Linked DNA regions of Drosophila melanogaster. The protein of the gene in region 2 interacts with the protein of the main gene of each other region in a pairwise test. Each region holds a gene or a part of one and is shown on either strand. Other genes may lie near its edges. The genes, in order: CG10431, CG16863 and hng2.

Region 1 (11,547 bases), 5.2 Mb from region 2:
ACAGGGTATGCCCGACAACAGCTGACTAATTGCCAGCGGCGCCAGCGCAGCGCAAAACAAAATTACGAATCGAGTCCGCTTGCCAAAAGTATAAAAAGTAAAAAACACTACGTAATGGCTAAAGGAAAGGTGGCGAATGGCTGGCCAGGCGGTGGGTGAGCAATCGTTAGATGATCAAATGTTGGGCGGAGGGTACTGGTGCCAGGCCAACAAGGAGGCACTTGCACTGCAGGATGATGTGGAGTGGAGCACTCCGCATTTCAAGGACAAGGACACAGCACAGGCGATTTCCTTAGGGGCGAACTTTGCCATTTAGCTCGGCGAAAGGTGAAAAACGGAAGACTGTCGGAGACAGTCGGCTGATGAGTGTTGGTCTTGCCGCTTCATTGGCTAAATTAACATAATTGATTCAATTGATTTGTGGCCATGTGTAGTGGCTACGGGAATTCAATGGGTATTCCATGGAAAAACCAACCAGAACCGTAACTGTGTTTGTACAGTCGGGTTTCTCTAACGCGGACACCCATTTGTCACAATAGAAATGCTGGCATTTCTGGTTTTGGCAAAAATAAACTCTTTAAAGACTGACATAAATTTGGACGAAATATCTGCACGCCATTAGAGAGCCGAGTTATGGACATAAATATGTAGTTCTATGCCAAGGGCAAAATTGCAGTTCAATTAGTTGGAATTTAGGTTACAAACCAGTATTTAGTATTCATAATTAATGAAATAATTTAAAATGTTTTACAGTTTTATTAAAAGATAATATATCAAAGTCAGATTTTAGCTGTTTTGAGTTTAACATCTTATACAGAAATTATTGGGAGTAATTTATTTGGATTTAATCGGAAATGCGACAAGTGGTGTCCCCAATTATGGAGGATACGCAGCTGATTTTTATGCTCTCTAGCGCTTTGAGTACGCCCCACATTTGGGAGTTCTCGCGCTGAAGGGGTTTATCTAATCTGTGACGAGGGGCGAGACCGAAAAGCGGACGGCAGGCTACTGCCCACCTGTAAATCAGGCAGGTGATAAGCATAATCGCGGGCGACGTGTTGTAGGTAGGGGAATGGGAGCACATATATAAGAGTGTATATATAGTCGTCTACCTTCTGCCAGGACATCCTCCACGGTGACCGTGACGCGTCCCACTGTGAAGACCTTGCCCACGAAGCTGTTCTTCTCGTTCGAGGACGACGAGCTGCTGCTGTTGGGCGGATTCTCCAGTCGAGAGTTCTCATTGCGCTCGAACTTAGACAGGATTTTCTTCATTTTCCCCCGATTTTCACTAGAAAATGTTTACTGCCCCAGCAGCACAACACACACACACACACTCGCGAGCACACACGCACACTAGCTAACACGGTCTTAATTGCCTGCGCGTAGGTGTTTTTGGCAATTTTTAATTTTGCGAGGGCGGCTGACGGTGGGCGGGGCGTCGGTGCCGCTGGCCAATTAATCCACTTTCGAGTCGTATCGGCTAGCTGAATAAAGCTATTCTGCGCACTTTGTGTTTTTGCATGCACACACACAATGCAGTGGAAAAAGAAAGTTGTTCGATTTTCCTGCTGCTCTCGAGTTGTTGGGCCAGTGTGACCAGGGCGCTTTGCTGCAGTCAGATGCGCAACCCGCGGCTGGTGCAGCCGCCTATCGATATATAGATAAGTTGGTTGCAATCTCGAAATTCTGAAAACAAGGAAATCCCCGTTTACAAAATAGGTTTTATGATAACAATTTTTTGTAATTTGATCCAATTTAAAAAGATAATATGGTTCTACTTTCAATAAAACATATAGCTACAGTTGCATTAAACTATCGCGCAGTTTTAATTAGCTATGCTGCCAACATCGTGTTTCCCTTATCAATATGTTATCGATTGTGCTGGTGCAATTGTAAACAAGCATCTCTAGCAAATGGTCGCTAAATTCGCAAAATTGTAGTTTGCTGGGATAACAATGATAAATACGGCCAAGTACTTTGCTCTTCTAGAGAGTTTAAGGTTTAGTAAAGCTCTAGGTAAATTGGTTAACATCATATAATAATTGTAGTATCCCTAATACTAATATTTCGACAGCAAATACGGCGAATAACTCAGGGACTGCCGAAGCCTTGGAAATCAACCTGCGAATTTTGGAAAAATATGCTAAACTCGAGATTGGTCAGCAATTGCATGAGCTGTGCCTGGAATATCAGTTAACAGACGATCACGAATCTAGTATTGATCCCGATTCGGATCGTACTATATGCTATATAATAAGATTGCAACATGTGCTACATTCGATCATGAGGAACATTAATTTCCACAGCGACGCCAAGGAGGATCTTATTTCGGTAGCGCACCTGAAATTGTGTATCCAGGCTTCCCAAGAATTATCATATTACTCGCTTCGATGCCAGCTACATGAGGATTTCTACAAGTCGCCCATCTTTTGTGAGGCTCAGGGGAAAATCAAAGCTAACTTTTCATTGATGCTTCTAAGCATTCAGTTCTTTATTAATCTACTGCATATTCGACAATACCACATAGCCAACTCGATGGAGCTGGTGCAAAGGGATCTACTGGCGGCCATTGTGAGTCTACGTGTGCAGCAAGACTCTCCACTGCTGGATAAGGCTATAGCCTACCTCTGGCAATATGAATCCAAAGCAGATTTCTTTCGCAACATCTTGCTTTTTAAAGCTACGACTCTCTGCCCAACTCTGGCCCAATTATTGCACCGTCAACTCTTAGGAAAGCTTCACTTACCCCAAGGATTTGCTAGTCTTGTTGAGGCCCTGCATCAAAATCCCAATGTGAATTCTTCCAGAAATGCGGAAATTGTGGCTAGTATTGTGGCCAGAAAAGGATTTTCTCAGTTAGCGCAAGAGAAGATGGTTCTCCAGGTGCTAGAATATTGTAAGTTCTATCTGCAGAATGCGGACAAAATGTGCGCCGGTGTCCTATCGCTCAGAAGACTTTACGATTTAAGTGATACAAATCAAAAGCTGATAAAAGAAATATTATTCAAACACTGGGAAACGCTTTGTAACCCAGAAGACATTATTAATGGCCTTATCTTAATGGATCACCAGGAACTGTGCAATCGCATTCTCTTATGGCAGCATCTCTTTTGTTCTTCAACCGTAGCTTGCTTACCCAGTAATCTACTCGTTCCCTACCTTCCTTTGCTGCTCCAACTCTACGATGGCCTTCCAATGGAATTACCGGCGTCATCGCAGATTTCTGCCATTATTTTGCGTTGTCTGGACAACAGAGAAATGAAAAACGAATTACCTGCGATACTCCAGAAGCTGTTTAAATGGGAAATTGAGAAGGAACCTCCTTGGAAGTGTTTAAACCCACGCATTATAATCCTGCCTTCCATGAACACAACTCAAATTCAGGTTAAAGTAGCTCACAAAGATCATCTAGCAGATCACGATATGGGCAGAATATTGCCCGGTCTACTCACATCAAGCTCTCATCATTCCCTCACCTGCAAAGTTTTCCTCTCTCTTCTGGGCTTCATAGCTAAACAGATAAATGATAAATCTTCAGCCAGCGTAGATTTTATTTCATCAGAAGCAGAGCTCAAAGACTTTCTGCACTCCAAATATCAACTGAAGCTAGATTTGCTCATTGCTTTAAACCAAATGGTAGCCCACCAACCATTAAGAGCTCAGCTATCACAACATACCAAGGAGCTTCTACATATACTAAAAGACTTGCTTGTCCACCGATCTAGAGAGCAAGATACCACGGATCAGATCCTACTTCTCGTTCTAAACCTCTTGCAGGAAATTCTTGAGGGCAGTGAGAATATTCAACTTTCAGAGGCCTGTAAGGAACTGAAAGAACAATTGCACCTGTTGGGTACTCGATCTTCCAACCCTCTTATCCAGCAATCTGTAAAATCATTGCTTACAATAATTCACGGCGCATGGCGACCAAGTGAGGCTGTTAAAATACAACCTTTTCAAAGAGCTCGGTCCTTGATAGAGGAAAAACAATCCCACATGCAAGTGTATGGAATTCAGATGATGATTGATTTGCTGAAAAAAAGAGATCCTGCTACCTTAGCGCAGGGTCAACTTATCATAGCGTTAGCCCTGACCACTCTCAAGGATAAGGAATCCTACACCTTCTTAAATTGTGTTCGGCTCTTTGTGTCGCTTGTTCATGTGATGGAGTCCGATGTGCTGGACAAATTGAGTGATGAGTACCTATCAGAGACGGCTCACTTAGACTACCGCCTCGTAGTGGGTGAAGCTATTCTGAAAGTCGCTCAGGAGTTGGGTAAGCAATGTTCTACACAGCTAAGAATAACTCCTAAACTTTCATACTAATCCCATCCAGGTCCTCTTTGCTTTCGATACAAGGCTGTTCTTCTCAACTGCTTCATGTACGGCTCCCGGTCTCCTGTTCACGAATTCCGGATGTCAGCCTTTGCCAATCTTGCCCAGCTTTGTCGCCTTTTGGCCTTTCAAGTGCAGAACTTCTTCCACGAGTTACTCCAACTTGTTAATAGCGAATTAACCACCGGAGGATATGTTCCCTCTAAGCGTGCAGCAGTCCTGGTCTTAGCTGAACTATTAAACGGCATGGAGAACCTTCTGGATTACCAGGAAATGTTACTCCCCATTTATCGCCTTTTAAAAGCGATTGAAGCGGATGAATCCTGTGATCCTCAAATGCGTCAGCATGCTGCAAACGGTCTGAAAATTTTAAACAAAAAGTGCACAAAACTGATACAATCTGCCTTGGAGGAGAAATCATTACAGAAGCAGATTAAGGTGTTGGGCATTAAGGACGATGATTCACCTCAAAGAAGAAACCGACATATACTGGAACTGAATTAAAGGCTATCTTAGAAACCTACACAAGTTTTAATTTTGTTTTATACACAATAGATCAATATTACAGTTTCGAAAAGAAATGCGATAGTGGCGAATCAGTACAGACATTACTGACATAAAGGCAGAACAGAAAATAGGACTTAGTTTTGGACTTTGGTTACATTATTTGGGATAGAGGCATCACTTGCCGATAGAGAACTCATTCTCGATCTTGTCTGCGATCATCTTGGCAATGGCCAAGCTACTAGTAGCGCCCGGCGATGGGGCGTTTCTGCAGTGAAGCACTCGCTTGGCTAGCGCTCCCGATCCTTGTCCGCGATCGAAAACAAAATCGTCCACCAGATTGCCATCCAGATCCATTGCTTGGGCACGTACTCCAGCGGGACCACGCTGGATATCGTACTCCGTAATATCCGGGATGTACTTCTGCAACGCCTTGATCTGCAGGTTAATGAACCACGATTTGGACATCTCGCTGAGTCCGAAACCGATGTACTTGCTCGCCATCTTTACGAAGCCCGGATAGCGCAGGGCGTCGAAAAGCTCGAAAAGATTAATGTCACCCCAGCTGGAAGAAGTGAAGTGTCAGACAAGTTTAAATATGAGCTCTAAGAAGACTTACGTGTAACCTTCGCGTTTCAGAGCCAGAACGGCATTTGGTCCCAGCCAGATAGATCCGTCCATTCGCGGCGTAAAGTGAACTCCCAGGAAGGGGAAACGTGGATCCGGCACCGGATAAATATTACCCTTGACCATATGCTGTTTTTCCTTGGTCAGCAGCAGATACTCTCCACGGAAAGGCACGATGCGGGGGTCTCTGGGGCATCCAGTCTTCTCAGCCAGCAGGTCGGATTGCAAACCGCCACAGGTTAATACGTTCTTGGTACGAACCGTTTGACCGGGCTTAGCGCCATGGATGGTCACTGGGTAGTCGGTGCCCTCCTTGGTCTCGGTAAACTTGCTGACATTGAAGTCCAGGTAGATATCACCACCGCACTGTTTGAAATCCTGACCATAATGCTCGGTAACCAATCCCCAGTCAACGATACCAGTGTGCGGACTGTGGAGCGCCATCACTCCCTGGCAGTAGGGTTCGATCTCCTGAATCTCGCTGCCTTCGATCATTCGCAGATCCGGTACGTTGTTGGCAATGCCACGCTTCTCCAAATCCTTCAGCAGCTTCACTTCTTTCTCATCCGTGGCCACAATTAGCTTCCCGGTTTTCTTGTACGGGATCTTTTTTTCATCCAGATAAGCGTAGGCCAAATGCATGCCCTCCACGCAAAGGCGGGCTTTCAGGGTTCCAGGCTTATAGTAGATGCCAGCATGGATGACGCCGGAGTTGTGGCCGCTCTGGTGCTTTGCCAGCTTGCACTCCTTCTCCAGGACAGCCACTTTGAGGGATGGATGGCGCAGGACAATCTCCCGGGCAGATGCGGCGCCGACGATGCCACCACCAACGACAACCAGATCATAATCTCTGAGGGAATACAAAACATATCAGCTAACAGCCTCAAAAATTAAATAAACTTAAGACTTCTAAAGTTTTTAAAAGTTAGAAAGATGTTTGTATATCCGTTAGAGTAAAGAGTGTGCGGGCACGTTTTTGATTAGGATCATCAGTCAAGTCGATCTAGCCATATCAATATGTTCATCGACTGTCAGACCGCAAGAACGTCGAGATCTTGGGAACTAATAAGTAAGATAAAGGCTGCAGATTGCAGTGAAAAGACTATGCTATGCAATTAAGAATACAAAAGTAAATAGAATATACATTGCTTAACTAAACATGATTTTAAAAGCGCATTCTAAATGAAAAGAAGCTTACTTAGCTCATTTGGAACACCTAAATGATATTCTGCAAACAGTGAAAAGATTCTTAGGATCGGAACACCCCCGAAAATGAGAGAACCCTATCGTAATCTCAAGAGACTTACCCGCAGCTCGACGAGCTGTGCTGCGATCTTTTGTGGGTCGCTGTGGATTCGTTGGGCGCGGCCACGCCCACATTGAGTAGGCTACGCCGAAGTCCCTGTACCAGCAGTCGCACCTGAGCCATTTCTCTTTCTTTTATGCTTTCACCACCCGCGCACGCACGTAGAATTTAGATTATTTACCAACCCGAAAAGAAAGACCTTGCTTGACCTTGCCTTCTCCTCCGCCAACTTGTGCGTACAGCGCGCTTTCGAGCGAATCGACAGACTGAAGCCCGTGGAAGTTTTCCGTGGGGCGAGAGAAAATAAATATGCTCACGGGCCGAGCATCTGGGCGATTTGTGGGGCCGAGGGGCGATCATAAACGCGCTAATTGATAAGTGTGACGGATTATTTTTGAAAGGGGGTGGTTGGGTAAGGACGTGTGTGTCAGCTGTTCGGTTTGTTGATAAGATTTAATGTGCCCAGCTGCCATTTTGCAAATTTTCTGTAATCTAACAATATTAAAATTTTTATTTCATTTTAAATATTTCAGGTTATACGATCATGCTGATTACTCGACTAAAAAGTATTTACAAGAAACAAACATATAATTTTAACCCTAAATTTGCTTTTATTCGATACGGAATCCCATTATATTTGGTCGTATTTGATAGCAAACACAAATGAATAAAGTTTCGTTATTAATTCAGAACTGCAAGAAAAAAGACCGCTATCAACAATATGTGAGACGCATTTTCCAACACTGAACACTTCAGAAGCAAAACAAAACCAGCTGATTTAGCAAACAACAGCTAGCTCACAGATGTAAACAACAGAAATTTGCAAATTATTACAAATTATTGTACCATAAATACCTTAAGATGCCCGCCCACTGCGCCGTGATAAATTGCAGCCATAAGTATGTGCACGCGGGCAGCATTTCATTTCACAGGTAAGTGAGTTGATTTTCAATTGACAAGATTACACTATAGCTTCTATTCTCCCAAAGATTTCCATTCAAACGGAAGGATCTTCTACAGAAATGGAAGGAATTTACCCAGAGGAGTGCTCAGTGGATGCCCTCAAAATGGAGTGCGCTGTGCAGTCGGCACTTTGGTGATGAGGACTTTAATTGCAGCAATAATCGGAAAACGCTTAAGAAAAATGCTGTGCCATCAATTAGGGTTTCGGAAGATGACTCCATGAGTGGGCACTTGGAACAGGTGTCCCCAAGCAATAGGCCAACGCACAAGCAAACTCTTTCTAGTGCCGCCGAATCAGCAGCAACAGGTGTTAAAGCCACTTGCCGCTTTTGTGGTTCCTCGGCCATCAATTGCTCCTCGTTTGACAAGAGTTTTGAGCTCTTTGGCATGATCCAGAAGTGCTTTCCTACGCTACAGATTCTTCAGGACGACACCTTGCCCAAGGAAATATGCCAGGAGTGCTGCCTCCAATTGGAGCGCTTTTCCCAGTTCATCGATGTGGTGATGTTGGCGCAGAGTGAATTGCAAAGAAAATACCGCCGACAACTGAAAATCAAACAGGAACCCTTGGTTCGTGTGAAACAGGAGGCCTGCGAGAGCTTGGACAATCTTTTTCCTGATGAACTGGACATGGGTTTGGAGCAGGACGATGGCTGCGATCAGGAAGAAACTGAACAAAAGTTTCAGTTCTGCGAGTTCCCTATGCTAAATGCCCAAGACATTATCAACAATTGTGATATCATGGAGATAATCAATCTGGACGATCCGTTTATCAATATTCCAGACGATGCGGATGTGGGACAGTCGGAGAGACTACAGCCTGGAAGAACGGCTAATGAAATGCTGCAAAACGAACTCCTAACCGAAGAGCACAATTATGCGAAGGAGGAGTGGCAACTACCCCCGCATCAGTACAAAACGGAAAAGGTGGAGGGAACGGATGCTGCGCCAGACGCAGCTCCTCCGCCTGCTGATCCCCCTCCTCTTCAGGATAATATAGACCCTCCCTCGGCCCCCGAACCGCGCTCATGCAAGCCCATTGTGACCAATGTAAGCCAGATACCTAACCCAATGATCTGCGAGCTGCTGCCACAGCCTGCTCCTCCCACGTCGATCAAACCCAACATCGTGGTACTTAACGATAGTGTGGTCGAATCCTCAGCGGCTTTTCGGCTTCACAACTGCACTTTGTGCACTGCCAAATTTATAACAATAGATAGCTTAAATCAGCATTATGCACACAGTCACAGTAATTCCACTCCCATGGTTAGTGTTCCTCCGATGAATATATGCCTTCCCAGCTTAACCATGAACCCTCCAATGAAAATGGAAAGCAACAGAGGTCTTGTGGCCACTGAACAATCCGAATACTGGCCGTTGGAGTGGCATAATAGTCCTGTATCCAAGCAACCTAGGAAAAAGATTGATATACTAGATATGCAGAGTAGTTTCCTGCATCACAAAGACCTTATACCGACAGCCACTCAACTGTCAGCACCCGCACCTGATCCTCAACTGGTTGCAGTGACTGCTAGCTACGCTAAACTGGCTAACAGGTATCGTAAGTTGCAGCTGAAATGCAAAAAACTGAAGTCACCAAGGAAGGTGCACAGAAAAACCTATGTGTGCCGGATGTGCAGGAAGGGATTTTCAAAGTTTAAGAACTTACACCACCACCGTCGTCAGAAAGCACACTTTGTAAAGTTAATACCCAATTTTTCAGGACGCTGTTCTGGTTGCCTAAAGTTTTTTCGATCCCGCTTGGGTCTTCGCCAGCATATGCGATACATATGTCAATCGTTGTCGCTCAAAAACCATCGGCGCCTTCAGAGCTTCAAGTGTCGCCACTGCCAGGCCATCGCCTTTGCCCACTGGCGCCTGTATCGTCGTCATGAACTCAATTGCAGGCCCAAAAAATCCAAAACTAAGGTGCAGACGGCAATGAATTCGAAAAAGAAAGTTACGCCCACCCAAGTATTTGAGTGTAATATTTGTAAAAAATCATTCGGTTCGCTCAACGGACTACGCCAGCATAACATCACCCACTCGACGGAGCGGCAACACAAGTGCGGCATCTGTGAGCGGGTCTTCAAGCGACGCAACGGATTGTCTCAACACATTAAGGGCTACCACCTGCAGCTCAAGCCGCATGAGTGTCCGGTTTGCCAGCATCGCTACGCCCTGAAATGCGATATGCTGAGGTGCAGGCATTCCCTGCGAAAAGGTCCAGCTGCCGGGGAGTAACAGGAAGCCCTGGAGATGACTCACGATTGGACAAGGAAATGGTATTTACTCAAGCAAATGCTATAATCTTGGAGGTAAAACCAATTTGTTTTCTAAAAAACAATGTGCGATAACACGCCACTACAATTTTCTTTCCACAGATGATCTGAATCTCGATGCACTAAATGCATTAAGCCTAGTCACTCTATGGGGTACTTAGTTGGTGGTCTTCCAGTACGGCACGCAAGGTGATGAAGGGTTCGCAGCGGGAATGAAATTGGCGCTAGTCAAGGTTACTTACAATAAGTAATTTAACCTAATTAAACCGACGCTTCATTGAGCAGGAACGAGGTTTCGCAAATCGGAACAACATTTTTGAAAAGGTTGAAAGGGGGAAAACTAAAGGCGATCTTAAATATTTTGTATTATATACATTTATTTATTTAAATTGCAGTATAAGTTTGTAGTAAACGTTCTCTAAAAGTACGTGTATTTTCTTGTGTATTCGTATTTAACGCATTAGTATTGCTTAAATCGCTAACTTTAAACGTGAAATACTGAATCGAAACTTATTGTTTTACTTTAGGCTGATCCAAGCAAAAAACTAAGATTGACTGCCAACATAGGATTAGTATATACAAAGAAGGTTGAATTTCACAAGTTTATTTGCTTAATATAACTATCAATTTTATTTTTAACAAAACTAAAACGAAGAACATAAAAATGGCACTAAAAGTACAAAATCATAAAGTAAAAAGCATACATTTTGGAGAACCCTCAAGGATAAACGTAATTCAACAATGAAATTTTGCGCAACACCAAACAATAAAGTAGTTCTTAATCTAAAACATTTTAAACTTAACTAAAGGTTAACTATAAATACGCTTTTGGTATGATCGTTATTAATGTACGTATGTATGCATATGTCCCTGGCTAGAGTGGCTCAGTTTGGTTGGTTTTAAAAAAATATATATTAGAAATTGAACGTTATATTTTGTTACTTGATAAGTTGTGATGGGTACTTCAAAGATCCAAAACAAACATTAGTCAAAGATAACATTCAATTCCCAAGATGTTTTTGCCAGCAAATCGAGTTTTTATATGTATGGGGCGATAAGTATGAATATAATTAGAGTATGTGATGCTTGAAAAATGCTTGTACGAAGCGTATCCTCTTCTCCCGGGATTAGTTCCACATTCGATTAACCTACGCCAGATAATTACTCGCTAGACTAAGGGCGAACCTAAGTCCTCTACTGGAAGATCGCTGCCCGCTGCTGGAACTGCTGACGCCGCTGGGCCCGCTCCTCCTCCTCTCGCCGGCGCTCCTCCTGCTCCGCCCGAATCTCGTCGTGGAACTTGTTCGTCCGCAGCTGTTGCTCAATTTTCGCCTCGAAGAAGTTCTTGGCTCCGCTCACTCCCACCTGCTCCACATCGACCTCCGTGAGGCGGGCCAGCTGATTCAGCCCAGAATCGGAGTCCAGTTCCCCGGCCTGGGCCTTCCTGAAGATCAGCAAGAACTCTCGGAATGAAATCTTGCCATCGTTATCCTCGTCCACCTCGGCAATCATCTGCTTGAGTCCCAG
Region 2 (9,992 bases):
GCACAAATGCTTTATAGGCTGGAGACTGAATCAAAGGAACTGGGCATACATACAATTTCCATGACCGACACTTCCCTGGAGGATGTTTTCCTAAGGTAGGGATTGGAAGATACATTGTTTATTGTTTTTGCTTTAATATCTTATGTGGTGTTTTAGATGCGCAGGCGAACAGGATCAAGTGGATACCCCCGATGGTTCGCGCAATGATGCGCCGCTACTGGCACACTACAAAAGACTCCAAGACCATCCCCCTCATCGCGGACTTTTTCAACTTTGGATGGCTGTGTTTTACAAAAAGTGGACCTTTATTTCCAATGAATGGTTATATACTCTGATAATGGTAAGTTGTTAGCAATTTGTAGGACTTTGCTCTGTTGTATAAACGGCGAAAACAACTAAAACTAAAACGAACTAAAAACTTTTTGTGCTCCCCTCTCGCTAGCTGTGCATTCCCTTTGTATGCGTATTCGGGGCTATACTGGTGATGCACGCCATGTCCTTGGTGGAGAACGAAGAGGCTCTGCCGCTGAAGCTCAGCCAGATGGGCAGTGGCGTTATATACGTTCACAATCCAACGGGCCATCACGCCCATTTGGAGCAGCAGCTGCGTCAACAGATCGAGCTGAATGGAATCACAGCGAAAACAATGCACCTGCGTGGGAGTAATGATGTGAAAAATGGTGAGTATGCGACGTTGTGCTAAACATTTTAATGGCTCTATCAATACATGTGTTCTCTAGAATCCCTTGACTTACAACGCGACAACTTGGCTGATTTCTTGGAGCAGGTGATTGGCATTATTGACATGTACGGAGGTGGGCGTGGCACCTCCGATACGCCCACCATTGAGATTTTTTACTCAGGCAATCGCTACCACAGCTCTGTGGAGCTTATCAACCTGGTGGACTCGGCAATGCTGAAGCTAGGGCGTCCAGAGTCTGAAATTGATACGACTTACGTGCCAATTCGTCGATTTGTTAGCGACATAAGTCCATCGCGCCTCGAATACTATGCGGTCATCGTGCCGATCGGCATGTTCTTCTTCATGTTCTATTTCATCTCATTGCCGTTTCGGGAATATGCCAATGGATTCAAACAGCTGCAGACCATGTCGCGATTTACTTATTGGTTTGCGCATTTTACTTTTGATATGCTGATCCTGATCTTCGTCTGCGTTGCCCTGTTCAGTCTGCAATCCTTGATGATGCCCTCGGAGCTGTATACAACGGCTGAACTTAAGGTCATTGTGTTAAGCATATTTTTCTACGGCTGCAGCTACCTGCCCATTCTATACGCCCTGGGAAACAACTTTAAGTCGATATCCACGATATCTACTTATTTGCTTTTGATGCTGATTGTGTCCGGTAATATTATTTGATTTTATAACCAGTGACAACAATTAGAAAAACTATAAAACCCATTTTCTTTTAGCCATTGCCCCACTTATCACCTCCAGCAATGCGGCGGCCATGAAACTGCATGAGACCAAGATCGCCTTCCTCTGCTTCCTACCGGACTTCAATCTTAATCACCAGTTTCGCATCATCAATGAAAACTTTATAACCCGACGCCATCCGGCACTTATAAAGGGTCTTATCAGCCAGGACACCTTCTTTGCCTATGCCACCGCCGTGGGTGTTATGGTCATGGCATTCTTTACCATAGTCCTGGAACACAAGTATCTGCGCAGACGAATTCATGATGGCATCTGGGAATGGGCATTCCAAAGAAAGAAATACAATTCGACAGGCACCCTTCCCAGTACTCCGATCTCAGAAATTGATGATTGTGCAAGGGAGGAAAAACGGGTTACCGATCTGATAAAAGACCCATTGAACGACCATTCACTGATTGTGCACAATCTTCGCAAGCGATACGGCGATAAGCTGGCTGTGGACGGAGTCAGCTTTGCGGCTGCCCAGGGTGAATGCTTTGGTCTGTTGGGTGTTAACGGAGCGGGTAAGACAAGTACCTTTCAGATGATAGCGGCCAATTTGCCTCTAGATGGTGGCACTATCCGCATCAAAGGCGCAGACATTCGCGAGCATGAGTTGAAATACCGGGAATACTTTGGCTACTGCCCTCAGTACGATGCACTAAATAAATTCATGACCGCCGAGCAGTGCCTATACTACATGGCATTGCTGCGCGGCCTGAGCCGCCGAAGGACCGATGGACCAGCCAGCTGCAAGGAGCACGTGAAGTACTGGCTAGAGAAGATGCATTTGACCAAATATCAAAAGGTGCAAGTGCGCCACTATTCGGGCGGCACGAAACGCAAGCTTCTGGCGGCAATGGCCATGATTGGTGCACCCGCACTGGTGCTCCTGGACGAACCTACCACCGGTGTGGATCCCATCTCGAGACGATTTCTTTGGCAATGCATCAAGGATTTCCAGGGAAAGGATCGAACAGTGGTGCTCACATCACATAGGTAAGCCCAAAAAAGTATATTTCCTTTTCAAACAGATTCAAAAGTGTACACATTCTCTACAAACAGCATGGACGAGTGCGAAGAGCTGTGCAATCGCTTGGCCATCATGGCGCACGGAAAGTTCAAGTGTCTGAACAATATTTGCGCCCTTAAGCGATTAAGCGGCTTCACGATAAAACTGAAAATGAAGGCGGACACCGAAACGGAGATGAATGTGTCCACGATCACTGGCACGTTGAAGTCAGAGTTTCCTGGTCTGGAACTGCGCGAGAGCCATGCCGGCACACTCACCTACTTTGTTAGCACGCAGGAGAGTGTGGTCCTTTGGTCAAGTGTTTTCAAGATAGCTGAGGAATATCTGGGCGATCGCTTAAGCGCTCTCGTGGCCGACTATTCGGTGAACGAGTGCACACTCGAGGATATTTTCCTCAAGTTCGAGAGAGAGGCGAAATCACAATCGACGTCACGTCAAACCTCCGTGCAACGCAGGCCGGAATGCAGCTACGTTTAGGCCAGATAGTCGGAGTGTCGGAGTATCAAGTAAGATAAGCAGAAGACGGGCGTCGTACATTTCATTATTTCCCTCAAATATGGAACTTTTATGAATCTCTATCCGGTGGGAATAATCTACTTAATGTATTTAGGGACTAATAAAACCAAACAAACACCTTCGACATGGGTATATAAAACTAAAATATAAAAGTAAGATATAACTAGTACGACAAATAAATAATATTTTTTATTTATATTATAATAAATATTTCTACATAATATTTGATGTGCATTGATTATGGGATTAAGGTAAATTATCATAATTCAAAAGAAGTTAAAAACAGTTTTATACCCTTCTATTGGTAGAGGAACAGGTATCTGATTGACGGGGAACTCGACTATAGCATTCTCCCGTTTTTTTTTTTTTTTAATTTAAAATCTCCCGCCTTAGTATTTTTAAAATACCACTCATAATAATACCAAAAGGAACTTTAAACGATCTATATTTGGAATTTAACGATTCATTCAAGAATTAAAAGTAATACATAATGTAATTTTTTTATCCAGCTTGACTATTGAATATTTAATTATGAGAAAAATAAATATAAAACTATTATTACTTGGACGACTTAGGCGCTAATGGAAATGTCAAATTCTCAAAAAATCTCCCACTTGGCCACACTAATGTAGCGTTATTTACAAAATATTCATTTTTTTCGTCGTTAATTTATCGTTTATGCCGAATATGTCGCGTAGCAGAATATGGAAGTTCTACGACAAGTTGGATCGGAATTCCGCGCAGTGCCAGCTCTGCGAGAAAGTAATCAAGACAAGCGGCAACACGTCCAATCTGATGAAGCACATGAAGACCCATCCGCAGATGTAGGAAAGGCTCCTGAGTTCAAAAACCTTTCACAATGAAAATTTTCTTGAAGAAACCTCTTCGACGACGATGTGGTGGTGGAGCGGGGCATATACAAGCGGCGGGAGCAGGATGACAAGCTGCGATTCCGGAAGGTTGTTCCCTTCAAGGAAGAGAGCTCTGATTTCCACAGCGAGCTGTTGTTCAAGGCTGCCAAGGATGCGAGCGGCATTATCGAGCTGGATGATCAAGGAATGATCAAGGCGGCTGCTGAGGATCGCATCTCAACAAAGAGCGTCGGGTATGCGTGGGTCTCTCCGGAGGCCACAGTGTCCCGAACGGAGACGGTTGGCGGCGACGATATCATCGAATTCGAACCCAAGGAGGAGCTCGATGAGTCGGAGAAAAGCCCACTTCCCCAAATTCATGCTGTACCATTTGCCGGCCATGAGTAAGTTTTAATCAAAAGATAGAAGGTAGAAGATAGATACAATTGTAGTAAACTTCATTTATTACCCAGCAACTTAAAAATGGAAGAACCTCTGCCGAGCGAGAGTCCGTTTCACAAGGACATTGCCTTCTTTGTCTGCCGTGACCGCCAGTCATTGCAGATTGTGCAGGGCGAGGGATTCCAGCACCTAGTGAAAGTACTGTGCCCCACCTACAGACCACCGAGTGCGGCGAAACTGGAGGCCATTATCTGCAGGGAGTCGGAAGCGCAGAGGTCCAAGCTCTGCCAGCAGTTGGCCGACATCTCGACACTCAGCCTAAGTTGCTCGGTGCACACGAATGCGGAGAGTCGAAGCTGGATGGAGCTGGTGGCCCACTTTCACGAGGGGCGGCAACGAATCTCCCGAACTCTTTCTGTGCTGCGCCTTCCCGATCTTTTCACCTCCAACGATCTGGTGGATCGCATGGACCAAGTGTGTCAGCGCTTCGACATTCCAAAGTCAAGGATCTGCTGCGTGTCGACAAGGAGCAGTCAACTACTGGAGGATGCGGTGACATCGTTCATGGGCGCTCATCATCATGTTCCCTGCTTCGCAGACCAATTGAATTCTATTTTAGAGGAGGTGGTGCAGCGCCCAGAAATACGTCATTTGCGCGACAAGGTGCGTTCCCATGTGCAGTCCACATTGCAGCTGAATCCCCAACTGGATTCCATACACCGACCGATTAGTGTGTACAATATGCTAGACTTATACCTGAAACAGACTCTCGTTCAAGAGCCGCTGCCGCTTTCGACATCGGAGGTGGATTTGTGTCAGCAATTGCTGGACGTGCTGAGGCCGTTGACCAGCTCCATGCGTGAGCTAAGTCGAACACCATATCCGGCGGCCAGCACAGCCCTGCCCATTGCCCAAACTCTGATCAACGAACTGAAGCAGGAGAAGAGTGCGGAACACATGGTTGCCAGGGAAATACGCTTGTTCCTGGTTCAGCAGCTGGAGGAGATCTTCGAACGAATGGAGCGCAACTTGCACCTGGCATTGGCAAGTCTGCTGGACCCACGCTTTCGAAATATTCCCTTCCGGAGTGGGGCCCTGGTGGCCCAGTACATGACTCAACTCTATGACATGATGCAGGCGCATGTGGACAGCGGGGAGCAAGCTGTTGCAAAGCATCCGGAGAACCGTGATCACTACGATATCTGGGCGGCATTCAAATCCTTTTCGCATGGGAAGCAAAGGATTGTAAACGGCAGCAACGGTCCCGAGGCGGACGATGAGATAGCCAGATACTTTTGCGCCGGCATGAGTACCCTGCGAGCCGATCCCTTTCAGCTCTGGGAGGAACTGGCCGAAGCTCACCCCTTCCTGCACAACGTAGCACAGAGGTACCTGCACGTTCCGGCCACCGCAGAGCCGGCGGATCGGCTATTTACGGCCGAAGGAGCGGCGGTTGCGGCGCAGTACGCCAGACTAATCGAAAACAACATGGAAAACATACTCTTCATGGCGGAAATTCCAACGAAGGAGTGGCAGTTATAGCGTAGTCCATAATCAATCCAAACCTAAGTTGAGCACTGTGTTTTTGTACCCCTTTTATTAACTAATTTATTAATTTACATTTACAATAATGCGAACTATAAAATACATTTTTTAACTTTTTAGCTTCTCAAGCGTTAAGGAACTATTTTTGTATTAGAAAATTAGAGGTAGGGAACGAATAACGAACACATATTCATTAAAGATTTGTAAGTACTATTTACTACACATATTTACACAAATAATTTATTTTAAATATAACTTTATTGTTTACTTTTTTCTTTTGTTATCACAAATCGCCGTTACAAATTCAAATAACAATAACACCAGCAAATTAGCAAAAATACCAAAACCGAGAGAATACCAAAAACTTCCCAACACTGCCGACAGCTCAGTAATTTTCGCTTACACGGTCACACTTCTGATGACGTTTTTTCGTATTTTGAAGGGAATGTAAATGTGGAAAAACTGAGAGATTTGCAACATGCAAACATCCACGACACGCTAAAAACTCACCGAGTGCCGCCACACGACAATCCAACCGAGAGGAGCACTCCGCACAGCTGGCGGAGCACCCAGAAGGCAGCAGGCGAAAGTTGCGTGGCTGTTGTTTCCGGAAGCGGTGGGCAGAGGGAAATCCGAAGCAGTGGTAGTAGGGAAAGAGGCATCGAAACCCACCCAGCGAAGGCGACCTTGGGAGTGGCAGCGGCCCAATATGCACAACAACTCCACAAAAACCAAGGAAATGTTCATCGTGCGTGCTCTAGAAAAGATCCTTGCCGATAAGGACATACGGCGCTCCCATCACTCGCAGCTGAAGAAGTCCTGCGATTCGGCGCTGGAGCAGATTAAGGCGGAGCTAATCAGTGCCGGCCAGATCGCAGAGGGCAATGAGCTGCCCTGTGCCGCACTCCCGCTGCCCAAGAATGATGCAGCGAGCATCATAAATGCGGAGACCTACTTTCTCCCCTTCGAGCTTGCCTGCAAGAGCCGCTCGCCCAGGATCGTGGTCACCGCACTGGACTGCCTGCAGAAACTCATTGCCTATGGCCATTTGACAGGATCCATTCAGGACTCGGCCAATCCGGGTCACCTGCTCATCGACCGTATCGTTGTGACCATATATGGCTGCTTCAGTGGTCCCCAGACGGACGAGGCCGTCCAACTGCAGATAATAAAGGCTCTGCTCACGGTGGTCACCTCGCAGCATGTGGAAATCCATGAATTCACACTGCTGCAAGCTGTGCGCACCTGCTACGACATCTATTTGTCCAGCAAGAACCTGGTCAATCAGACCACAGCACGCGCTACGCTCACCCAAATGTTGAACGTGATATTTGCCCGCATGGAGAATCAAGTGTACGAGCTACCACCTCCCAATTCCAATCCCACCAACGGCAGCATCCACTCGGAGGATTGCAATGGCTCGGGAGAGGAGTCGCTGCGGGATTCCGACGAAGTAATTGCCTCGGAACTGCTGGCGGAGATCATATCAGGTGCGTGGCACTCGGTGGAGAAAGTTTGATAAACAGATGTTTCTTGTTAAGCTGAAGTTGCTTATTATTCTACTTAACTCGCTTAGATTTAACTATTTTTCAATATTTTCAAGAAACGTAATTAAGTTCATAAAATATTTCTTATCGGATGGGAAAAAATTGTATGAATCATTTACAGTACGATACGATAAGGTCCAACATAAAATTCCACTCCTCCAAACCGTCTAATTATCATTGCGCGAAAATAATGACAGTTACGTTTTTCAGCTGCCTACAATGAGGCGATGAAGGATCAGGAATCGGTCGGTGAGCCAGAGCCAACACTTAATGGAAACGACTACTCCTCGCACTCGGATCACGACAGTGTGGAGCTGCACAGCGAAAACGATGCGGTTGTAACGGCTAAGTTTACGCACATCCTGCAGAAAGATGCTTTTCTCGTGTTCCGGGCACTGTGCAAGCTATCGATGAAGCCTTTGCCGGATGGACATCCAGATCCGAAATCGCACGAGCTGCGTTCCAAGGTGCTGTCATTGCATCTGCTGCTGCTCATCCTCCAGAATGCCGGGCCCGTCTTCCGCTCCAACGAGATGTTCATCATGGCCATTAAGCAGTACCTGTGCGTGGCCTTGTCAAACAACGGAGTCAGTCTGGTGCCGGAGGTCTTCGAGCTGTCGCTTTCAATCTTCGTTGCCCTACTCTCGAACTTCAAGGTGCATCTTAAGCGGCAGATAGAGGTGTTCTTCAAGGAAATCTTCCTAAACATTCTTGAGGCGAACTCAAGCAGCTTCGAGCACAAATGGATGGTAATCCAAGCGCTGACACGTATTTGTGCTGACGCCCAGTCCGTGGTGGATATCTATGTTAATTACGATTGCGACTTTTCGGCTGCAAACCTTTTTGAGAGACTGGTCAACGATCTTTCGAAAATTGCCCAGGGTCGTCAGGCTCTCGAACTGGGCGCCAATCCGATGCAAGAGAAATCGATGCGCATTCGCGGCCTGGAGTGTCTTGTCTCCATTCTTAAGTGCATGGTAGAGTGGAGTAAGGACTTGTATGTTAATCCAAACATGCCGGTTCCACCTATGCAAGTCCAATCGCCGACAAGCACTGAGCAGGATCAGGCGGACACAACTATCCAAACGATGCACAGTGGTTCCAGTCATAGTTTGAACTCCAATCAGGAGCAACTACAGGATCTTCCCGAGGCATTGGAGGAGCGCAAGATGCGCAAGGAAGTGATGGAAACAGGCATTGAGTTATTCAATCGTAAGCCTCAGAAAGGAGTGCAATTCCTGCAGGAGAAGCAGTTGCTGGGTGCCACATGCGGGGACATTGCGCGCTGGCTGCACGAGGACGAACGACTGGACAAGACAGTGATCGGAAACTACATTGGCGAGAATGACGACCACTCCAAGGAAGTGATGTGCGCTTACATCGATGCCTTTGACTTTCGCCAAATGGAGGTGGTGGCCGCCTTGAGATTTCTTCTCGAGGGGTTCCGCCTGCCAGGAGAAGCACAAAAAATCGATCGGCTGATGGAGAAGTTCGCCAGTAGATACTGCGAATGCAATCCGAAGAACCAGCTATTCCAAAGCGCAGACACCGTCTACGTGCTGGCATTCAGCATCATTATGCTGACCACGGATCTTCATTCGCCGCAGGTCAAGCACAAGATGACCAAGGAGCAGTACATTAAAATGAACCGCGGCATCAGCGACAGCAAGTCCGATTTGCCCGAGGAGTACTTGTCGTCCATCTACGACGAGATTTCTGAACACGAAATTAAGATGAAGAACAACTCCGGTATGCTTCAACAGGCGAAACCCACTGGAAAGCAGGCCTTCATAACGGAGAAACGCAGAAAGCTGTTGTGGAACATGGAGATGGAGGTCATCTCGCTGACGGCCACCAATCTAATGCAGTCAGTTTCGCACGTCAAGTCACCCTTCACCTCAGCGAAACACTTGGAGCATGTCCGGCCCATGTTCAAAATGGCTTGGACACCATTTCTGGCCGCTTTCTCTGTGGGTCTCCAGGACTGCGACGATCCTGAGATTGCTACACTCTGCTTGGATGGTATACGTTGTGCTATTCGAATCGCATGCATCTTCCACATGTCCCTGGAGCGAGATGCCTATGTACAAGCCCTGGCCAGGTTTACTCTCCTGAATGCTAACTCGCCCATCAACGAAATGAAGGCCAAGAATATCGATACCATCAAGACGCTTATAATGGTAGCCCACACGGATGGCAATTATCTGGGCAGCAGCTGGCTGGATATAGTGAAGTGCATTAGCCAGTTGGAGCTGGCCCAACTGATCGGCACTGGGGTGCGGCCCCAGTTTCTTTCTGGAGCGCAGACAACGCTCAAGGACTCGCTTAATCCCAGCGTGAAAGAACACATCGGCGAGACGAGCAGCCAGAGCGTGGTGGTCGCAGTCGATCGTATTTTCACCGGCTCAATGCGACTGGATGGCGATGCTATCGTGGACTTCGTGAAGGCCCTGTGCCAGGTGTCTGTGGATGAGCTTCAGCAGCAGCAACCGAGGATGTTCTCCTTGCAAAAGATAGTGGAAATTAGTTACTACAACATGGAGCGTATTCGTCTGCAGTGGTCACGCATTTGGCAAGTTTTGGGTGAGCACTTTAACGCGGTCGGATGCAATAGCAACGAGGAGATCTCATTTTTCGCCCTGGACTCACTGCGTCAGTTGTCG
Region 3 (9,301 bases), on a different chromosome or scaffold from region 2:
TGCATACTCATTGTTTTATTACAATACAACTACCACTAATTAATATTAATAGACCACATATGATATGGCATTCGTTTAGTCAGTTTAAGATAATTCTGAATTCTGTATACCCTCGGCAGGTTCAAAGAACTTACTAGTTTCCATAGAGGTCATATTGGATACGAAGCTTTCAGCAAATTGAAATACTTGCTATTCCAAGCGCCTTGAAATGGTTTTAGGTTGGCAATCGCTCACCTCACTGTATTGACTTTTCATCTCGGCGAACACGTGACTTGCGCTTTGTCTGGCAATATGTATTCCCATAGCTAGAAAACTCATTGAATGTGAATGAATCTGTTATCGGTCAAGTGGGAACGATGTGTGATAACCCCGTGGTTTGATAAGCGTCGATGTCGAGCTTGGATTGCATGAAGTGGTCTGATCGTGAGATTTCAGCTTGGAATCAGTCAAACATTTCCCAGTTCACCGACAAGATGTGGTCCTCTAAGACTATTTTGGTTTTCCTAGCAGCATTTACTTTGGTCCAGGCATGTTTCCGATTGTGCAAGCCTGCTGGATGTTTCTTAACAAAATTTCTAATCCTTATAGGGTAGCATGCGGTTTCACTTCACCTTGGACTTTCACGTACAGCAGCCGCCGAATGCATCCGACACCATCGACAAGACCATTATTGTGGAGAACGATCGGATATCTATGGTGGACAACGAAGGAGCGACTACTAAGGCTCCGATGACCCAGTGGACAGATCAGGATCAGTATAATCAGGACGCATTGCTGAAGGTGACCGATACGCGCAGATCGGTGCAACAGCTGAATACGGAGCTCTCACCCCTGGTTGGCAGGAGCACCGATTTGGCCAGAAGGATTAAGCAGAGTATGCGATACGTCAACGAGGTGGATGCTAATCTGGACGATTTGAGCAACTTTGGGCAGCTGGTGGAGCTGCTCAAGAAATTCGTAATCCTAGTCGATAACCTAAGGGATCCAAACAATCTCGGAGGCATTCGAAGCCTGGAGTACGTACTCCTGAAGTTGGCTCTAGAGAAGTACGACCTTCTGAACAAGCGACAGGAGATCGGTGAATACTTGGAAAGGGCGGAGAGTGCCTGGCGAAGATACCAAAACACACAGGTGGTTGTTCTGGATAACTCCACCTGAGTCGGGCTCAGATGCCTAGGACCACCACATTAGGAACTTAGTTTTAGGATAAAACAGAACAAAGACCAGCATCATGGGTCGACACAATCGCTGCACCATGATCTACTAGAGCGGCTCGGCTCTTGAAAGGAATAAAAGACATCGAAGGGACTTCCTGTCTATTATTCGATTTCACTGCAATGCCCAGAATTGCTACAGGTATGCGAGGGGAGGTATTCCAGGGGTAGAATACCCTAAATTCCCTTCGGTGCCCGGTTTCGTTAAGGCTGGAAAGTACGTTACACACGCTGGGAATGCCTTTGTACACTGCAAAAAATTTAAGTTAGACCTAGAAGAGTAAGCAATCATGATAAATAAGTATTTTACCCTAAACAAAAATTCTGCTTGATTTTTATTTGTTTTATTTTTCCCTAAAAAACTGCACCTGCAATCATTTTCGTGAAGTATTGATTTATTGATATTGATGTAGATTTCCTATCAGTAGAATCTACATTTCTTGCATAGCAATTCATTTAATCTAATCAAAATAACAGTAATAAAATACTTAAAAAAGAAAATACGATAAAGTTTTCAGTGCATTTCCATTCAGCAGATGCAGGTAGTCGGAATCGAGGAACTAAGGGACCTTTTAATAGGGTAGAACAGCTGCCAGAGCCGTTGCTAATAGATGAAGTGGAGGGTAGGGTCCCGAACGCGGGCAGAAATTTCCGAAACCCGAAACAACCACTAACAAAAACCATATGCAGTTAAGTGGGAAATGGAATGGGGCGATCCCGAGGAGAACGGCATCATCAGGACGTTACGAGTACCATTTGTCGGGTGAATTGTGGGGGCGGGTATTCGGGGTAACGATATCGTCGTACCCCCCATAGATGGTACTCAGGGAATTCCCAGCAGTGTGGAACGCTTGAAAGCCGACACCGCATCCAAATCTCTGTGTTACCCCTATGGGTTCCTTAACGGTTTTCAGCGATTTCTTTTTAGGGGTGTCGTCTGGAGTGTCGACTTATAAATACGCTCGTACAATCCATAAATGTGCCTTTGTGTTGAACAAAAACCATGAAGAAATCGGTATACATAATGAAAACTCGATTGGCATAAGAGGTACAAGCTGTATGAATACAGGTTTCAACTCTTTTTTGTATCAACATCAGCCGAAACTGGTCAAACGGCTTTGGAACATGGGCCATCCGATGGCTTATGTATCGTTTTGACAGTTTATGTTTATACTAAAATTTCGCTGCAGGCGATAAATATGTATTGAGACAGCATCCGGCCCAAGAAAGTAGTGGCTAGGGGGATGAATAACAGAACATGGGATTTATGTAAAAATATCAATTACACATGTGGACAATTTGCTTGCATACATAGTTAATATACATATGAGCATATATATTCATATGAAATTCCATACAAATCCATGTTGTATGAAATTGATATTGAAACCCACGTATAAAAATATATTGCCGTCGTTAGATAATTTATGGTTTAAAACAAAATAAAATGCATATTTTTTATACATTATTTAATGTTGTTTTTAATGTTTTTTTCATTGTCTTAAATAACTCTACAACTATTGTATTATTATCAAAAATTACAAAAGTAAGCGTATAATATATACATTGCGCAAAACACAGAAGTTACTATGAGAAAACTATTTGACGCATTATTAAGAACTAAAAAAAATAATTGAATCATTGGTTGCATTAAAGTTTAACCCCTGGTTTGTGAATATTATTGTTTGTATATTAAATTACAAATTACAGTTCATTATTTAAATTTCGCGCCCTAAAGATTAGACGATTTACGATAACGATTAAATGTATTCTTATTGCTTATGTTAACTTGCTGTTAAACGAATTTTGCCCTTCTTGTAAATGCATTTGTAAATGATTTGACTTCTGTAGTGAATATTCAATTCGGCTTGAAGTTTCGTAGGATTTTCAGGACCTCGATCTGAAAGTCAAGCTTGCGATCGGCGCACATCTGCTGCATGTGAGGCTTAATGGTGTCGAAGAAGGCCTGATCAGGATCGGCGGACAAGTAGGCGGTATTTGTACTGCAGGGTGGATCTGATGGTAACTGTGGAATATATGCGATTTCCGGAGTGGCGGTGTCCTCCTTGGCGCAGCCCAGATCTCCCAGAACCGTATTTATGTTGCTTGGTATGGCTGGATTGCGGATGGCAGGCTCAATATTCGATTCTTGGTCGGAGTTTCTCTTTCGTGGAGTCTTTGCAGATCTCTGTGCGGCAGTGCTCACTCGCTTCCGTTTGGCCTGGGGCTTGGGTTGCTCCTTCAAGGATTCTACATCGTCCTCCGACTCTGCTTTCACGTTCAGCAGGAAACTCAGTTCCTTTTCGTAGATGTAGGAAGCTCTGGCCACCTCCTCGCCACTTTGACGTAGTCGGTTGACCCGTAGGTAGCTGTCCCTCGTGTTTTTCCAACGTTTGAGCAGTGTTTTAACTGGAATTGGAAGTTATGTATGATATAGACTCAAAAAGGTAGCCACCACCTACCTATTTCCTGCTTCTCCGGCTCGCTGGAGTCGTCAAAATTCGAGCAAAGCTCGTGGCCAATTTGCTGCCAGGCCTCATCTCTGAGTTCGCGGTTATGGAAGTTTGGGTGGCTTCGTTCCCATATAATAGAACGTTTGTGTACCGCGTCAATGAACTCGTACATCGAATAGCGCAAATTGCTTCCTGCCGATCGAAGAACTTTATGATTGCCCATTATTTATTGTTTATTTAAGGGTTGGATTGGATTGACAATATGTTGCTTGCGTTTAACAGCACCACGGGCAGCTGCTTAACAGCACTCCCCGCAGAGTTGCCACCTCGCCCCGCATTTAAACTAAAAACGTTCTGATGTTATGAAAATACAAATTTCAATTTTGTGTTTTATTATTAAACATATACAGATAGGTCAGTGGATTATTGTTGCTGTTGTTCTTGCTTCGAAGCGTGCGAAATGCGAAGGTATGACCGAGTAATACGTGTACGTGTTAAATTAGGAGAGAAATGCAAGTGAGTTTTGATGATTAGGGTGTAGTGTTCTCTGGATTTCTGAATGATTCTATTTACATGGGCCTGCCCATTCCGCGGCCCATTCCCATGCCACCGCCGGCCATCGGGGGTTCTCCGGCCTTGGGACTCTTTATTGTCTCATCGACGGAAAGGATCATGCAGGCTGCCTCGGCGGCCGCCGTCAGTGCATTGATCTTAATGATGGACGGCTCCCAGACGCACTGCTCATAGTTGTCCGAAATGTCTTCCTTGTTGATGTCGACGCCGTACCACTGTCCTCCTGTAAAAAGGTAAATGTATAAAATTATAATAATTATTAATTAGAGTTCAAAATTACACGACCGATTTGAATTCGCCAACGATTTTTGCAGGTAACATTTCGTTCAGGTGGCAACGCCGCTTACAGCCCGCGCAATAAACGAATTGAGAAGGTGCGAAAGAGCACAACATACAGCACATGTGACTCGAGTGAGAGAGGACGAGTGACAGTGAGGTCGAAGAAAAACACGCGTTGCTGCGGCTAAAATTTCCTCTGTATTTACATTATTTGGAAGAGAAAACGCAGCCAAACGAAATGTCCAGCTCCGGAAGAAAGCGCAAGCAGCAACTTAAGCCGCGTCAGGACGATCACCGGTCGCCGGTGAAGCGACGCAGTGTGGACATCAAGTCGGAACCCTTGGACGGCTATCCGGCGCTAGCAGACTACGATTTAAGTACGGCCGATATCAAGCCGGATCTCACTGAACTCCAATTGCAGCTGGTGGCGGAGCAGCAGGCGGCCAGCAACACCATTCGCTTGGAATTGGAACAGCAAGAGAGTGATTCCGACGAGGATGGCTACTCAGAGCTCGATTACCAAGCTGAAGATGTCTTCTGTCAGGGTAAGAAGGGTGCTCCTCCCGTCATTTCAAGACCCCACTTATAAAATTATCCTTTTTAAACCCAGACGATATGGATGACTACGATCCAGATTGGTCCAGCCAGCAGACGGGTTCCCGACTGCTCTTCAAATTTCCCATCCAGCAGAGTGGCCTGAAATTCGGACAACGCTTCCAGGGACCACAGCACTACTTCAACCAAGTGCTGGGAAATCGCTCCAAGTTCTTCAGTTCCCTGGCCCAAAGCTGCAACCTAAAGGGAGGAGAGCTCAAGTCCAATCCCACAACTGCCGAAGAAATGGAAATCTTTATGGCGCTTTCCCTGCTTATGTGTGACCTGAAGCTGGAGCACCTATCGGATTACTGGAGCACTAACATGTTTTACGGTCTCGTCGGATTCTCTGGGAAGATTCCTCTGGAACGGTATCAGCAGCTGCTGCACTGCCTTAACTTTGATGCACCGCAGCTACAAGCGGGCAGAGCCAAAGTGAAGAACTCTCTACTGCTAGACTTTATCAACGAGCGTATGGAAGAGATATACATTTGTGGCCAGCAACTGGTGCTCAATGAACCTATCACTCTGTGGAAGGGTGCATTAAGATACCAGGATGAACTTCCAAACAAATTCCGCACCAACGCACTACTGCTGCATATGCTAACTGAGCAGAGCGGTTTGGTGGTGAAGATTCTACCGGAGATTGTGCGGAAGGAAGACGCACCGGCATGGGTACGCAATTCCCGGCAGTTGGTGGAGCACCGAAACAAGATTGTCCTGAAACTAATGGAGGGTTACCATGGAGGACGCACTGTGTACACCTCAAAGTTCTATGGAAGCTACGGCCTGGCTCAGGAGTTGGCCAAGAAAAGCACCTATTGCACTGGTCTGCTGGACAGGAATAGATATGGCAACAGTAAGGCACTGGTGCACCAGCGGTTGGATTCCAACAGCATCTCCACCAGCTATGCCACTTCTCTGATGATGGCCAAATGGCGACGACGGGCAAAGAGCTTGTACTGCTTCAGCTCTGACTGCTTGGCCATTTATTCCAAGGAGATGGCCATGCAAAAGACAAATGCAAAACCTAAGTTGATCCAGGAGCTCGAGTTTCAACTACGACCTGGAAACGACGGTCGCCACCACCTGATCCACTACCAAGCTGCCTGCAAGGAGCTGAAGGCAAACATAAAGTTGACCATTTTCCTACTCAACATCCTCGTGTACAATGCCTATTTGCTATACTTTGCTAATGGCCAGAATGCGCGAGTCGGACATCTTAAAAGTTACTCGGAGTTCCGGGTGATCATCATAAAGTCGCTTCTAAGAGAAGAAGTGACGAACGAACCGGTAACTAGTATCCAGAAGCCAGAGACATATGAACGGTCAAAGAACAAGCCGGTGCCCGAGCCCAGGTTGAAGACCATTCTACACGAACCCATGCTTATCCAGCAGAACGGGAAGCCGGCCAAGAAAAACTGCCGCTATTGCCACAAAGGCGGAATGCTGCAGTTCAGCAGGTACATGTGCAACACCTGTCCCGATAAGCCGGGTCTATGCCAGGAACCCTGCTTCCTTCTCTGGCATGAGCAGCTCAAAAAAGTAATCAGACAGACAATTGGACGAAGTGAATAAAAATGGATTATCATTCGTTAAGAGGAACAAATGTTTTTTGTTTAAAGTTTCACACACAAGTTCTTTAAAATAAAAACTTATCCTTCCCCCTTTCAAATATAAATTTCAAATTCACTCATCGTTAAGGTGGCTTTGTATGGACAAATACCATTGGACACTCACCCTGGGCGTGCTTCTGGCGCAACTTGTTGAGAATGTTGGTGGCATCGAAACCGGCGTTGTCGCACAGCTGGCGAGGAATGATCTCCAGGCCCTTGGCGATGGCAGCAATCAGCAGCTGCTCCTTACCGGCAATGGTGCGCGAATAGTCCCGCAGCAGCTTGGACAACTCCATTTCAATGGCACCGCCGCCGGCCACAACGGAATCGTGCTTGATGGTGCGCCGCACGATCATAATTGCGTCGTGGAGGGATCGCTCAGTCTCCTCCAGAAACTGTTCGGCACCGCCACGCAGAATAAGGGTGCTCGTCTTGGCATTGGGGCAGCCTATTTAAAATGGAAAATAACAAGTGGTTGTTAAAACGAGTCCTTCAATTAAGTATACGAATAAGATTCTTACCTTGGAAGAGGTTGAAACGTTCGCCGCCCACTTGGCGCTCCTCGAAATGTTCGCACAGGCCGAGTACATTGGGCTTAATGTCGTTGGCCGTCGTCATTACGGCTCCACCGCAAGCCTTCATGGTGCGCTTAAGATCTTCTTCGGGAACGCGGCCGGCGCAGAATATGTCGCGGTCGGCGAAATACTGTGTGGCCACATCACCGATGGGCAGCTTGGAGAGGACAACATTGGCGCCGGACTCGTGGATCTTAGCCAGCTTGTTGTAGAGGATCTGCCACTCGGCGTCGACCACCTTTTGGTACTCCTTGACGTTGTCTACGCGGATCTCGGCGTTATCGCGCTCAGCCTTAAGCTCCAATTCGATGTTGAGCAGGGCAATTTTGCAGTTGTCATAGGATTTGGGGGCCATTTCAAAGCCGGCATAGGAAAAGGTCTTCTTGAAGGCCACACCCGACACTAGCTGTGACTCCTCCAGCGAGCCACCGGTCACCTTCTTAATTCCAATCATGTTGAGGGGCAGCAGCTCATCCAGGGAGAGCACAGCATCGACTACAATGCGGGAGAAGAAGTCCTTCTGCTGGTGAATCAACTTGGAGGACATGGCAGTGGCTGCGCACTTCTCAAGGAGAGCACGCTGCTGGTCCTTGGACTGTTCGACAATTTGGACGGCCATTTCGTTGATCTTTTCCATGCAGAGCTGCAGGGCCTTGCGGATGGCCTTAATGATGACTCGTGGGTGCACTCCCTCCTCCACGAAGGGTTTCACCTGCTTAAGGAACTCGCCGGCCAGCAGAACCACGGACGTGGTGCCGTCACCCACCTGAAGGAGAAGTCGAATCAAAGCTTTAGCAGTGTCACGTGCGTCTCAGGGGTGCCAATCACTTACCTCGGCGTCTTGTGACTTGGCAATGTCCACCAGGGTCTTGGCCGCCGGGTGGATGATCTCCAGCAGCTTCATGATGGTGGCTCCATCGTTGGAAATCGTCGCCTTGCCGTGGGCATCCACAATCAGCTTGTCCATGCCGCGGGGACCCAGAGTGGTCCGCACTGCGTCCACGATCGACTGGCAGGCATTGATGTTGGACACCAGTTGCGGCTTGCCCTGCGACGAGTCAGTGCCTTCTTTGAGGAGCACGATTTGCGGTTGCTGCGGATCATACGGATATAAGGCGAATATATAGTAAAAGTCTCCAATTAGTCAGCAGATGTCGTCGGCTTGCGAGAAGCTTCTTTGCAGGTTATGTTTACAATCTCATGCCGCTCGCGGACGAGTCCATGATTGGGATTCACTTGGTTAGCCTCGGATTATTTCCAGCCGGACTTACCATATTTATGTGATGGGGTTGGCCTTTAGCACGTATTACAGTTTAAAACAATAAAGTTCCTAGCAGACAGGCGGCAACTTGCTTTTCGTTCACGTTTTCCGCGATGAGTAATGGGCCAATCGATTAATCGTTGTTATTTTGTATTTAATCGATGCTTGCAGCCAGTGTGAACGTTTGGGGACTTAGTCGCACTTTACAATGAAATTTGAAATCCTAACTCATAAAAAACTATCTATTTATTTCTATCTTGCGATTTTTTAACTTTATGGTACAAAGCTAGTTTCCACACTTTTTGATGAACATTTTAAACTAATATGATATGCAGCTGGTAGTTGTTATCGAAAAAGTTATCGATGGCTCCATGACGTCACTCTTGACCGGCGAGCGGTTTTTTGAAATTGCTCCCAACTTCAAATATAGATTTGTGATTCCTTCTATTTATATAAATTTGGCGATGCACGCACGCATGTCGCTTATTCCATTTTAGAAAGTGCGCCGCATCTTCAGTTTGTTCCTACCGCTCAACTTGAGTGAGTTGTGCACCGAGCAGCAATTAAATGAAAAATAGAAGAGTCATTTGAAAGGCCAAAACGCCAGAACATTCAACCGCAAATAGGTTTAAATGAAAGAAAGCATTCTAAATCTAATTCGGTCATGTGGAATTGGAATTTTAGTTGCCCAAGACTCCTCTTAACGACGACATCGAACCACAAGGGATGCCAATGG

Evidence for each region.
Region 1: the proteins of CG16863 (region 2) and CG10431 interact in a two-hybrid assay, tested with the Drosophila melanogaster proteins (one large-scale study listed by BioGRID).
Region 3: the proteins of CG16863 (region 2) and hng2 interact in a two-hybrid assay, tested with the Drosophila melanogaster proteins (one large-scale study listed by BioGRID).

The regions. Positions count from the first base shown.
Region 1 is NT_033779.5:18,967,141-18,978,687, forward strand, and holds CG10431 (uncharacterized protein), read left to right. Parts: upstream 1-7,569; 5' UTR 7,570-7,636; coding exon 7,637-7,707; intron 7,708-7,764; coding exon 7,765-9,982; 3' UTR 9,983-10,056; intron 10,057-10,122; 3' UTR 10,123-11,047; downstream 11,048-11,547. Other genes in the region: Nak (Numb-associated kinase), read right to left, coding at 1,113-1,275; Tango6 (transport and golgi organization 6), read left to right, coding at 1,959-2,019, 2,078-4,279, 4,340-4,842; L2HGDH (L-2-hydroxyglutarate dehydrogenase), read right to left, coding at 5,020-5,407, 5,462-6,319, 6,777-6,898; Swip-1 (Swiprosin-1), read right to left, coding at 11,215-11,547.
Region 2 is NT_033779.5:13,787,357-13,797,348, forward strand, and holds CG16863 (uncharacterized protein), read left to right. Parts: upstream 1-3,602; 5' UTR 3,603-3,671; coding exon 3,672-3,808; exon of another isoform or gene 3,809-3,861; coding exon 3,862-4,239; intron 4,240-4,308; coding exon 4,309-5,779; 3' UTR 5,780-5,908; downstream 5,909-9,992. Other genes in the region: Eato (engulfment ABC transporter in the ovary), read left to right, coding at 1-95, 157-340, 443-680, 741-1,364, 1,432-2,434, 2,501-2,945; Sec71 (secretory 71), read left to right, coding at 6,492-7,272, 7,540-9,992.
Region 3 is NT_033777.3:8,800,955-8,810,255, reverse strand, and holds hng2 (hinge2), read right to left. Parts: upstream 3,935-9,301; 5' UTR 3,891-3,934; coding exon 3,677-3,890; intron 3,624-3,676; coding exon 3,073-3,623; 3' UTR 2,675-3,072; downstream 1-2,674. Other genes in the region: CG9837 (uncharacterized protein), read left to right, coding at 474-527, 589-1,158; CG9839 (uncharacterized protein), read left to right, coding at 4,758-5,064, 5,130-6,691; CCT7 (chaperonin containing TCP1 subunit 7), read right to left, coding at 4,237-4,463, 6,854-7,177, 7,251-8,070, 8,137-8,397, 8,576-8,578.